Drosophila melanogaster: one gene and its partners. The protein of the gene in region 2 interacts with the protein of the main gene of each other region in a pairwise test. Each region holds a gene or a part of one and is shown on either strand. Other genes may lie near its edges.

Region 1 (3,241 bases), on a different chromosome or scaffold from region 2:
GGGCAGTGAGGAGCAGATCCCCCGGACGGAGTCTCCAGGCAGTGGCATCTGCAACATTTGTTGATGACAACCCAAAGACACGGAGTGCAACATTTCGGCGAACATTTCGTTGGCCGTATTTTGTGTGCGGCACGCCCATTTGGGGAAAGTCATTGCGAGCTTAGAAGTTATTATTTTGATTTATAGGAAAAGTTCGTTTAGCGAGCGAAAGTTGCTCGTATATTTTCCGCAGTGGAGGATGGAAGAGAGGGGAGTTTGAGGAGTGAAAAAAATTAGATAGAAGCACAGCTTTTAAAGTGTGGCGAGTGCGGGGCGAAAGGCATTTGTATGTATGCAGCTCTTGTTTTCATTATTAGTGGCTAAAACTTTGAAATGTATCTGTATGTGTGCTTTTAGAACTGAAGAGGATTAGATAGAACAATCCAGCATACGGTTCGGAAAACTATTCTCACGATAAATTCCGGACTTCTTCACTGCCACAAATTCCCATTACCATAAACACTAACACTTTATACGTTTTGCACGACAGAAGTTTTACTTCCACAGAAATTTTTGCTAATGTTGCTCCAATAATTTCCAAATTTTCATACCGTTGCCAGCTTAGTCTGCAAATTGTCTGCTGTGATATTCTTCTTCGTCCAGCCACTGGAACAGGGCTTATCATTGTCGGGATCGCCTACGTTTCCTACATCCTTCTCGTTCCCCGGACACCCAGATGCGCAATACGAGTCATGGAGATCGGAGCAGTCCGTATTGCAGATATTTCGCCAGCCCTCCGAATGAATGTGGTAGAGACGCACGATTCCACCAGAATAGGCATCCTTACTGGTCGCATGGTAAATCGCTCGCCTGGCCAGGTCATAGGCCTCCTGATCGGAGAGATCATAGCGGTACCCAGTGTCCAATACGCCGAGCGCATATGGAGAACCGCTGCCCACGGAGAAGACTTGACCATGGGATCTCATGCCCTCCGAGTCCACGTAAATCAGCTTGGGTCCCTCGTCGTCGAAGCCGGCCAGCATCATGCCCATCACCAGACCCATGCCCTTGTACTCCGTGGATATGTTGCAGATGATCCGGGCAGCCGTGTCCACGGTCATGCGTTTCCGATAGCGCAGCTGGTGCAGGCGACACTCCTTAGCCAAAACCCGATCCCAGTAGACGCAATCGGCGGCTCCGCCGGCCAATGTGCCCAGCATATAGTCGTTCAGCTCGACTATTTTCCTCATCGTCTGGGATCCAATATACTGGCCAGAGGTGGCCCTAGAATCAGCACACAGAATCACTCCTCCGCGATACTTGAAACCCAGAGTGGTGGTGCCGTGATCGAAATCCATGCGAATGCCACAGTGCGACAGGATCTTGGGCAGATTTTCAGCGGGCTTGAGAAGAGTTTCAATCTTAGATGGATCTTTTGGATTATGAAACCTATACTAACTCTTTCGAAGGGAGGCGCCATCAGTTCGTAGGGATTCTCAAAATTACTGGTTGCCTCGCGAAGCTGCTCCTTCTGCCATTCGGACTGCAAGTCATCGAAGCGCCGCATAAAAGGCATTTTATTCATGCCGCAAATCGCTTCCAGAGCCATTATGTGTTCAAAAAGAGTTTATTATTTCCAATAAATAGTTTAGTGTAATGTGTAAATGAGCACACTAAACGAGCTCGAATGATTGTGGAGTTAAGTCTCTAAGGCATCTTACAAGTGTATCAAAAATGTACTTTAATCAAAACAAGATCACAAGATCAGAAAGCTGGACATCTTGTTCCCATCAAAATATCGCATTCCGCTTGAAAGTTTCGCTCCACTGGACAATCCGCAGCGGCAATTCGCAGTCTCCGATTCCATTGGCATTTCATGGTTAGTGGGTGAGAGTGGTCGCAGCGGCACTTTCGCCGGCCACCCAAGTGGAATCCAATGGACCTTCTGTGGGCAGTGGCAGTGGCAGTGGCAGTGGCGCCACCGCAGAGATACACGACATTTTAATTGGACTGCCGGGCAGGGTCATCATCGCCACCTGCCGAGATGCGAAATTGGGACCAAAACGAGTGGGGAATGGCATAGAAGGTGCTTTCGCAGTGACCACGCCCACTCGCAGGCGGTGGCAAACGGATTAGCCGCTAATTAAAGGCCAATTGGCAATGTTTGCCAAACTGTTTGAGTCCGCGGGTCGACTGGCCTGATACCCCCCGTGATATATGTCCCATCCCAGTGGCAGTCGCAGTCACTCCGGCTGCTCCCACTGCCTCCATTAGTGGACGCCATGTGTCACTGATCTAAATTTATGCAAATTGCCGAGGACTTGGCCTCCGCATTCCCCAAACCACCGAATTCCATTTCCCATTCCCCATTCCGCATCTCCCATCCGCCACATTGGCACATTTCATTTTTGCACGCGCTTTCCATTGCAGCCTGCATTCCCCCCGCCCTTCGAATGGAAAACTAAGGGGGCGGAAGCAATTCGGAGAAAGGCGGGCTGGAAAGGAAAAATCGAGGCAAAAGAAACGAGCTGGCTAAGCCCTTCATCCAAACATACCCTAACTATGAGTACATGAAACCACTCACTGTTATTTTATTGGTCACGAAGCATAATAGTTTACTGGACTATCTAAATGTTAAGTCTAAGTATTAGTATTAAGTATTATTTAAGTATCCAATTGGATACTTAAGGTTTGTCGGTATATTTTGTATATATTTATTATATAAACTTTAGATTGCTGTAGGGTATTCAGCTTATCAACAAATATGACAATTCTTTCGCAGCGCTGCAGTTGCTGGATAGTTTTGACAGCCAGCTCTGATTATTAAATCACAGGGCAGGGACAAACTGGAGCCGGGGCAGCAATCTGATATGCAAAATCTCGTCTAACCCAGACGATGCTACTCCACCAGCTCCTCCTGGCCACCATCATCCTGCATCCCGAATCCCCATTTCCCCCTCCCTGCCCTGCGCGGCATCTGTCCTGCGTTAATTACAGCCCAGTTTTGTGCACTGGCAACAACTTGTTAAAAATTTCCGCTGCCAGTTTATTAGAGGGCAACTAACTAAGGCAGCGTAGTGGAAGAATCTGGCCATTCCCTTCGCTTTTGGCCTGAAGTGGCTGGCAGATTACTCAGTCTGAACCTGTTTTAATGACTAAAATGACGCCAAGTCAAGAGCGAATAAGAGATTAGGCCAAACTTGAGCTTCCCGTCTGCGAATCGTTGCAGCGCTGGACCAAGAGCACGATTTTGTGGCATCGG
Region 2 (3,272 bases):
GTTTGTTAATTGAATTTGCTTGGGCCGAGTGCAAATTATACGGAGACGGGAGGAGCAGCAGATGTTTGGCATTCAATTCCTCCAGCTACCGTGTAATTGCCGCACGTTTTGGCGATTATGTTGCTTAGGCTAGGCCTTCGTCTCCCTTTGGCATACTGCAGTTTCCTTAATTGCTTTCGAACCCCCCATTTTCCCGGGTCCTCAATTGCACGATTTCAGTCTTAGCCCCCAACATTGGCCAGAATGTCTGGGTCGGGGTCTCTGTATTTATTGACTGTCGTTTTATCAACGCTTAGTTTATTATTTGTTTAATTTACTGCACACCTTCGCCTGCATTTCGACACATGAAAGGCCATTGATAATTTTCCTGGAGTTGAATGGCTGTGGGGTTTTACAATCCAAGGCCCCGATTTCGTCACCGATCATAAAGTACCCACTTTGGCGATATCAAAAGCCAGAAGTGTATTAAGTTAGTCTATAAGAGTTATTATGAAATCTGATTCATTAAACGGTAAGAGAGTAGATCTCAATCTCTAGACATTATTTAAAAGTCTAACATGTGTAAAATCATGATTACAGTTTTATTTATAATATTTTGCAGTTTTCATATTTCATACTTCAACACTTAGATACCGGAAGTTTCCTTGATCCAATCGCGATAGTAAGTGATACGGGTGAAAGCAGCTGGTGCGCCAGACTCGCAACCATCAGCGGATCCAAAGGAGGTGGCACCGATGAGGACACCATCGAGAGCCAATGGGCCGCCGGAATCACCCTGGCAGGTGGAGGCCTTGTTGGTGGTGTCAACGCAGAGGACCCTGCTGGTCACGATCAGGCTTCCGAAGGTTTCCTGGCATTTGGAGTTGGAGATGATGGTAAGGTCCACGTACTGCAGATCGCGAGACACGGCGGTGGCTTGGTCGGAGGTGAGACCCCATCCGGAGGCAACAGCGGTCTTTCCCTCGTAGGTGGAGTAGCTGTTGGAGACGGCGGGCAGGCTGATCTTGTTCACGGTAGCCGAGAAGGACACGGACGAAGTCTGGATCAGGGAGATGTCGTTGCGGATGGTCAAAGCCAGGTAGCTTTCGTGCTGCCTAAACTTTGAGCTGCTGACGACTTGGGTGAACTCGGGGCTAGTACGGACAGTGGCACCGTAGTAGATGGTCACGGAGGCGGCACTATATTGGAAATACTCTCATTAGACCTGGTCTTGAAGGACGGAAAATGCACTTACCCGTCGGTACAGTGAGCAGCAGTCAGCACCCACTCGTTTCCGATGATGGAGCCACCGCACCACCAACTGCCAGCAGAGCTGGAGAAACTAAGTCCCACCTGGTAGGGGAACTGGCCGGCAACGGCGTCCTTGCCGTTGGTGATGCGACCGGTGATGGATGGGGTCGAGACCCTGTCACGGGGATGTACAGGGGCAATATTGGGCAGGAGCCCAGCGGAGGCGGAGGCCAGAGCCAGAACCAAAACTACGAAAACCTTCATGCTGATGGTTGCTCAAACTATGAGTGATTTTCCCTTTCCAACACGGCCTCTTTTATACCCAGACTGAGAAATCTTATCTGCATAGATGGCTGGGCAAGTCCACTTAAATGTTCTGATTAAGTGTCGCAAAAATTTTTTTAAGTTTATTATATGGCGCTTTTGTAAAATTTTTCTATTTGATAAGATATTAATGTAGCTACTGGCATTTATTTCTTCATCACAAATTAGGGACTTTCAAATTGTGCGAATAAAAGATAATTACTTTGGTAGCATTACCACTTTTGTGCTTTTGTTTTGCTAGTTGGGATTTGCTTGGTTAAAAACAATTATTTATTACTTATCAATATTTCTTTATCTTAACTGCCTATTTACGTTGTAACTTAAAGAGTAAGCCATAAAGAATAGGACTTTATAAAAAGATTCCAAAGCAAACATTTGCTTTTATTTTATTTAATTCTTGGTAAATTGGAAGCAATATTGCCATAATGATGTAAGGTACAGTGGTTTTAAGACCTTTTTAAGCCTATTTAATGGTTAAAGATTTACAATTCTGTTGTTTCGCTGCTGATTTCAAAGACAATATAAAATGATCCTTAATACCAGAAATTGCTCACTCTTTAAAGTGTATTCGATCCAGATGAAGGTTTTTGCTGTCTTGGTCTTGGCAATTGCCACAGTTTCTGCTGATATCCTGCGCCAGGACACTCCAGTACATCCCCGTGATAGCTCAGCTGTTCCGTCCATAGATGGTCGCATTACCAATGGAAACAAGGCAGCTGCTAACCAGTTTCCCTACCAGGTGGGACTCAGTTTTAAAAGCTCGGCTGGCAGTTGGTGGTGCGGTGGTTCAATAATAGCGAATACATGGGTACTAACTGCTGCTCATTGCACCAAAGGGTGAGTAATTTTTTTAAAAAATCGATAATCGATTTAAGATTTATTCTGTTAGAGCCTCTTCCGTGACCATCTACTATGGGTCCACCGTTCGCACTAGTGCCAAACTGAAGAAAAAGGTCTCCAGCTCCAAGTTTGTGCAGCATGCCGGCTACAATGCGGCTACTTTGCGCAACGACATCTCCCTGATCAAGACTCCATCCGTCACTTTTACGGTTTCCATAAATAAGATTGCCCTGCCCGCCATCGCCAGCAGCTACTCCACCTACGCCGGACAGACTGCAGTGGCTTCCGGATGGGGCAGGACCTCCGATTCCAGCATTGCCGTCGCCACGAACCTTCAATACGCACAATTTCAGGTCATTACCAATGCTGTGTGTCAGAAGACCTTTGGGTCATCTGTGGTCACCAGTGGAGTTATCTGCGTGGAGTCCATCAACAAGAAGTCGACCTGTCAGGGCGATTCTGGCGGTCCGTTGGCTTTGAACAATAGACTAATTGGTGTGACCTCGTTTGTGTCCTCCAAGGGATGTGAGAAAAATGCGCCTGCTGGTTTCACCCGCGTCACCAGCTATCTGGATTGGATCAAGAACCAGTCCGGTGTGTTTTATTAGCCGTAAAGCCACGCAGTCCAGTTTTCATATTCCTAAAAAGCATTGCCTATTTTTGAGCGGCTATAGGAATGAACCCAACAGCGCAATCTGAATTGTAACTGATTATGTTTTTTATGTTGGACATACCCTTATCTTTTTCTTATCTAAAACAAATATTTTGAGTATTAATTACGTAATAAGGAACCTTTTTATTCATTCCATACAAGAAAATACCAAGAATTTTAGAACGTTTTTTTATTATTGTTAAAAATATTAGAAAATGGCCTTGAT
Region 3 (2,865 bases), on a different chromosome or scaffold from region 2:
CTACCGTACCCCTGCGTGTTCCACAAGATGCCCTGCCCGCTGATGTTTCCCGCCATGCCTTGGACTGCATCGATGCTGTTGACAAACTGCTCGAAGGCTTTGAAACGGCCGATGGACTCATTGAGGAACTGCAGCTGGCTTACGCATTTTTCCTAGTGGGCTACTCTGTGGAGTCTCTGGCCCACTGGCGCAAGCTTTTGGGCTTGCTGGCTCACTCGCAAACGGCGGTCACCAAGCACAAGTTAACGTACATGAAATACAGCGAGGTTTTGGCCCACCAGCTGCCCCATCTGCCCGAGGAGCTGATGGTGCCTGGTCCGCATAACACCGTCTACAAAGATGTACGCGAACTGCTGGTCAATCTGCATGCGGGCGGCTTAAGTGTCAGCGCTGAGCGGCTAACTAAGCGGCTGGAGAAAAAATTGGGATGGGAATTCGAGGGCCTGCTAGACGAGGATCCCGAGGACCAGCCTGTAGTCATCGAACTTCCGGAAGCCTAGGAGAAGGGCGCTACGCATGTGAAGTGTAATTCATATATTTGTAATACAATGGACTGAAACTGATCTATATTGATTTCTACTTTAACGCAGCGAATGCTGGGTGCGCAAGTAATTCCACAGATCCCGAGCCGTGCGGATGCTGACCATGAATTGGCACAACTTGGTCTCGATCAGGCAGAGAATCAAGAACTTGGCCCGCTTGTCCTTTAGCAGGGACTGCAAGGAGTATGGCATGGACATGGGTTTTCTGTAGCCATAAACGGCGCCACACCATCACTCACCTCCTCGTTGTTCTCGGGACCATTCTCCACCACCGTCCAGAGTTCCTCCGACTCCAGATACGCCCGCACCGTCATCGACCAGGCCTTGTAGTTGTCCAAACCTTTGAGCTTCTCAATTTGCAGCTGCAGTGCCATCTCCGAGACTCGAGCAACGTTTCGCAACTAAACCGCATTCGGGCCCTTTGCTGTTTCCTTACCTTCGCCTCTTCCAGCTGTTGTCCAGATTTTTAAATATAGATATCTTAGTATTTGTATCTGTATGCACACGGCTTTTCCATTGTGCACATCAGCAAACTGAAAACAATGGCCACTAGACCCACTTTTCGTGTTGCTTCTGGCCCAGCTATACATTCAGCTTAAGTGGACACTTCTGATTTGACGCAGAAGCGCTGTCGCTTTATGTGCCTGCCTGCTTGTATTTTCCGATGACCACAGAATTTAGTTTGACATATATTTCTTCTGAGCAGCAGCAGTGCGCCTTCTAAGCTCGCATCTTTTGGATGCATTGACAGGTACGAATCTTCATTTTCTGTGGCTAAGTCTTGGTTAATAATTAAAAACTGAATGTGGGATTGATCTCGATTCGAAGCTATGCTTGATTAGCAAATGATAATGATAGAAGAAAATGTGTTTGAAAATCTTTATTGAAAACTTCATTTAAAAACTATGTAAAATTTCTCTATCATACTGAACGCGTGAAATCAAGAAAGATGCATGATTGAAAGGATCACTTAAAATAAATCCGTCAAAATGTAAAACAAACTAGTTTTATTGTTATTTATGGTCGACTTCCAAAAAAAAAACTAATAAACTAATAGAGAAACTGCGTGCCGATAAGGAAAACATTCGGTTCCTTTCTATATTTTCAATCTTTCTATGATTGACTGTGACCATTTAAACAAGCCCATAAAAACACGAGCCCCAAACTCAATTAATAATAAATTGTGTTGCCCAATTGTTGTTTTGTTTTTATGATTTTTATTTGAAATGAATACGAATGTCAGTTTTAGCTGCTGGTTTCTTGTATTGCTGTTGTTGTTACGTTCAAGAATGTGGCTGTTGTTTTTGCTGCCTCGGCTGATTTATGCTTAATTAACTTTCTGCACGGGCCTTTTCTATTCAGCGACTGCAAAATATTAGTCTGCCTTCTTTCCTCATTTATTAAATTTATTAAAAAAAAAAAAAAACAACCAAAAGCGAAAAACAAAAACCATGCGAAAGAGCTGCGAATAAGCTCGTGCGAAAATTCTCCCGTAGCTTCTGCACAGCTCATCATTCTATTTTCCTTCGCTAATCACGCAAACACGCTACAGATAACTCTGCCGATGATGGTGTTGTTCTTGTGGAGAATCTTTGGGTTTACTTGACTTCGGGGGCTAAAAATCAATGTGGTTTTGGACTGTCTGTCGGGGAGTTTTGGAATCGGAATCTCTGGAGAGATGGTTAGTTGGGTGGTGGGGCGAAAAGTTCGAAATCTCTACAAATTACATAAGTGGTAGGCATAGAAAATATACAAGTATATATGTATACAATATATATATATATATATACGTATATATATGTACCGTTGTTTTGTTTTGTATTCTTTTTGTTTCTTGTATTTAGCAACTACAAATACTTTTCTATATTATTAATATGTTTCTTTGTTGCGCAAGGTAAGAGATGATGAAGAAAATTGTTTGCGATTGCGATGGAGAACTCAAAACGAAAGGCGAAAAACAGAAATCCACCAAATTCCCGTTCGATTGTTCGGTTTCGTTTCATGTGATTTGACCATGCATGGGTGTGTGAGTGTGAATATGAGTGCGAGTGTGAGAGAGCAAGGAAACGCTAAGAGAAAACAAACGGCTCGTATGCGTAATATGGGTGTCTGTGTGGGTGGTGGGTGTGTGTTAGTCTGCGCGTGTGTGTGTGTGTCTGTGAGGGTGTGTCGGTGTTATTGAACAGTACACTTACATACATACAAATTTAAGCTTAAGAATTCGTTTTGAATTTCGCTTAACTAACATTCCTTTTTCTCATTTAATATAGTTTTTAGCTTTTTGCGTCTTTCATTCTGTTTGCTCATTTCGTTTCGTTTACTC
Region 4 (3,785 bases), on a different chromosome or scaffold from region 2:
GAAGGAAGTGCCTGATGTATCTGTTGCCACTTTGGCAAGTTTAGCGCGCCTCTTCTGCCCGCCCAACTGACGCACTGACAAAGTGACAAGCTGACAGAGTGACTAACTGACAGAGTGGCAAACTGCCACAGTGACAAACTGACTGCCAGCTTGACTGCCCGACTGACTGAGCGACTGTGACTGCGCTTGTCACTGCGACTTGGCCATAAATCTGCGCCGGATGCCGCGAAAAATGCAAAACAATGTGGCTAAAAATAAGAAGCAAAAAATATTAAATTATTTCATAAATGCTATCTGCTTAAGAGGTGACTGGGCCTTAATGCACCGGCGTGACCTTTGAGGTGTGCGCAAATTAATTAAACGGCGATAAGTCCGTGTCGACATATTGACAGCTGCCCCCGAGCAACACTAACCAATAAGTTTCGCTGTCCCTGAGCTCCTGCGTTTCCTGGGCTTCATGGGCTTTCTCGGCTGCCCGAACCCCCCGGCTCAATTGCACATCATTAACTTTGGCCGACTGACCAAGTGGGTCCATTTCCCCAACCCCCTGTGCGCCCCTGGCATTCAGCTGGCCAGATTCCAGGCCTGTGTTCGCTAAATCGCTGCACATTAAATGCAATTAAGAAATGATTGAAATCATAAATTAGCCCTAATTGGCCACAGGACGCTCGCCTCGTTCGCTCCTCCTGATGCTCCTGCTGCTCCATATCTTCCTTCCCCTACGCACCCCCCCCCCCCCCCACCGATCATGTGCCGCCCCTGGTGTTGCATCTCCACCGCTCGGAATACGCTGCCTTTCAGCTTAACGATGACAGGCGGCACGTACTGGCTGGCCAAATTGTAGGGTGCAAGAATTGTAGTATTTTTAGCTGCTGCCCAGCACCGTGGGCTGCAATCTAAGGATCCGCTTCCCTTATATCTTTATGTCTTAAACCATAAATATATTTAGCTTAATGTTATACAATTTTTATAAATCATTACACCAGCTTATTAGCTTTAATATAATAGTATATTTAGCATAGAAACCAGCAATATAGATTCGACGGATAAAGATACCTACTACTCACTTCAGTCTTTATATACATATATCTAAAGTGTTTTCACAAATTAAAACAACCATATTTTCTACAGCCTAATAAAGACATGAATTTAATTGCCTATTAGTTGTTGAACAGCCATTCTCAACGGTTAGCACAAAAGGCACTTTATAGCGATTCCCTGGCCATCCATCAATTGGCTGCAAATCGATTATGTCTGCCGTATCAGTTTCGAACTGTGATTGCTTAGCCCCACGCCCTTTCCGCCACATCCGCCCCCTTTCCACCTTAACCCCCGGAATGCCAACATTATCGAAACCCACTGGTTAACCCATTGTGAGCAATTTGGCGGCCGTGCGAACAGCGCCAAAAGCAAACACACAAAAGAGGCGCAACCAAATTGCCCAGTTAGCAACCTGTCCAGCCCCTGCCCCGCCCCAACCGCCCCCTTTAACCCATTGAGCTGGGCACACCGATAAGCATGTGTGTAAGTAGATGAAATTAAGATTTTTTTTATATGATTAAGCGTCGAGAATTTTTGACGGCAATGGCTCAGAGAGATGTGCGTGCACTGAGCGAAAAAGGTACGATTTCTGCATTATATTCTACAAATATATATATATAGATTTTATCAAAATATTTCATGACTTCTGATAGATACAAATAAAATATAAACGAGCCTCATAAGTCTTAAGCTTCTAATTATTTTGTAATGCAGTTAGCTGGCTTATTGCTAGGATTTTTAATGGTTAAATGGCGCAACTCCTTTTCTAGCCGTGTACTCGGCTCTCAGTCACCCTTTCGGATATCCCGCTTCAGCTCAGGCTAAAGATCTTCGCTGCCTCGGTCGCCGCCGACTGCGCTGCTCGCCTCGCTGCCTTCTCGATGTCGACTATAAAAAGCCAATGTTACACTGTTTCCGAATTAAACCGCTAAGAAAACATCGCGCGACAGCACACACACCATCCACCTGCGTAGCCCAAACATCCCACACATCCATCCCACCACCACCCATAAATCACATTACATCCACATATCCACACACACATTCACACCGATCCGAGTTAAAATGGCCACTTCCGGTTCGATCCTGTTCGCCATCTTCCTGCTGAGCGCCACCCTCATTTCCGCCCAGCAGATCAAAGAGTCGGCGCCCAGTGCGCGATTACTAGATCGATTCGATAACCGATATCCCGACGGCAGCTACGAGTATCGATTCGAGTTGGACGATGGAACCGCTCGCTATGAACGTGGATATTTCGTTAAGATCAACGATGTAAAGACCCTGATGGTTGTGGGCTACTATGCCTATCGGATGACCGACGGGCGTTACATCACCGTCTTCTACAATGCCGATCAGTTTGGCTATCGACAGAATCAGTGTAAGTATCGGAATTGCGGTTTTCGGTGTGAAGTGATCACAAAGAATTTCAAAGTGATGACAAGGGGCTTTCATTCTTAGAAATATTTTATGTATTAAACACTAAAATATTCATAAATAAGCAAATTATTTTCATAGGAAGGATATGATTTGTGTACTTTGTTACCCTTTTTTTTATATAATTTGATACACTAGATCGATTATTTCGAGTGAGAGCACACGAATGACGGCTCTTTTTGAACACGAGTGAAATGATTAATGTAAACGAGCCAACCATTATCGCAACTCTTTCAGCGAAAATTAATAAGACACGCAAACACCCGTCGATTATTTTCAGCCCAAGAGCACAGATAGCCCTCCACTCGAATCTGGTTTATATTAAATTATATTATTTTGCTACGCCCACAGCGATCACGCCGCAGGAATATCCCAATCTGCCGCGTTCCATCGAGGTGCCCATGGTCAGCGAGGCATCTGCGGCATCCGCGGCATCTGATGGCGTCTCCAGTTCCCAGTTCCAATCTCAGTTTCAATCCCGTCTGGATGCCCATGGTAACCCCTCCATCACGACGACCACGCCCAGGGGGGCGGGGACAAATCGTAGGGGCCGCTACTGAGAGTTCGTAATTGCACACCATGCCCATTATTATTATTGGCTCCCTACATCGTTTTTTATACCTTATTTTATTATTTTTTTTTTTTAATTTTGTGCCCCCGACTACTCGTATTATATTATTATGAATTTAATTTCTGTCCACATTTTTGTTGTGTTCAATGAAATGGGATTAAAAAATAATAAAAATTTATTAAGGCAAAGCAGCGAAAAATTATGAATTTATTATTGAAGATGTTTCCAGTTGTTTGTAGCTGTTTTGTGGATCTGTTTTTTATTGCTGTCCACGCCCCTTCGCGCCTCCAGCCCCCCTTACCAGAGTTCGTTGCGAAGATTTCGCGATTTTTCGAAAGTCGCCGACAATTTGGCAATAAATTTACCACAAAGCGTTTCGGGCAATAAAACATACAAGTGCAGGGCGGCCCCTCGCCACCCTGGGGTTATATATATATAAATATATATACATATTGGATCTGGACATATTTTTGCATTTTTAACACATTTTTGGCGAGGTTCTCGAGCCGAGGGCAATTAAGAAACGAAAACGAAACCAAACAAGAAAATGTCCAGTGCACAGAGAAAAACTATAAGGTATTTTCAGCAAAAAAAAAAACAAGTTGACTTAATAAATAATTACCGCACTTATTGCCTACATAATAATTTCATTGATCAATTTTATTCTGTGCAGTAGAATTAATGTATAAATCTAAGTATCTGACTTTATATGTATATGTATATATCTATGTATTTATGA

The links.
Region 1: the proteins of yip7 (region 2) and Prosbeta5R1 interact in a two-hybrid assay, tested with the Drosophila melanogaster proteins (one large-scale study listed by BioGRID).
Region 3: the proteins of yip7 (region 2) and CG18598 interact in a two-hybrid assay, tested with the Drosophila melanogaster proteins (one large-scale study listed by BioGRID).
Region 4: the proteins of yip7 (region 2) and Cpr12A interact in a two-hybrid assay, tested with the Drosophila melanogaster proteins (one large-scale study listed by BioGRID).

What each region holds. Positions count from the first base shown.
Region 1 is NT_033778.4:23,308,141-23,311,381, forward strand, and holds Prosbeta5R1 (proteasome beta5 subunit-related 1), read right to left. Parts: upstream 1,677-3,241; 5' UTR 1,589-1,676; coding exon 1,439-1,588; intron 1,383-1,438; coding exon 585-1,382; 3' UTR 514-584; downstream 1-513.
Region 2 is NT_037436.4:6,033,465-6,036,736, reverse strand, and holds yip7 (yippee interacting protein 7), read right to left. Parts: upstream 1,522-3,272; 5' UTR 1,495-1,521; coding exon 1,235-1,494; intron 1,179-1,234; coding exon 626-1,178; 3' UTR 562-625; downstream 1-561. Other genes in the region: CG10477 (uncharacterized protein), read left to right, coding at 2,132-2,391, 2,444-3,002.
Region 3 is NT_033777.3:18,249,195-18,252,059, reverse strand, and holds CG18598 (uncharacterized protein), read right to left. Parts: upstream 946-2,865; 5' UTR 917-945; coding exon 782-916; exon of another isoform or gene 717-781; coding exon 582-716; 3' UTR 521-581; downstream 1-520. Other genes in the region: CG12320 (uncharacterized protein), read left to right, coding at 1-500.
Region 4 is NC_004354.4:13,541,668-13,545,452, forward strand, and holds Cpr12A (cuticular protein 12A), read left to right. Parts: upstream 1-1,975; 5' UTR 1,976-2,106; coding exon 2,107-2,419; intron 2,420-2,826; coding exon 2,827-3,035; 3' UTR 3,036-3,240; downstream 3,241-3,785.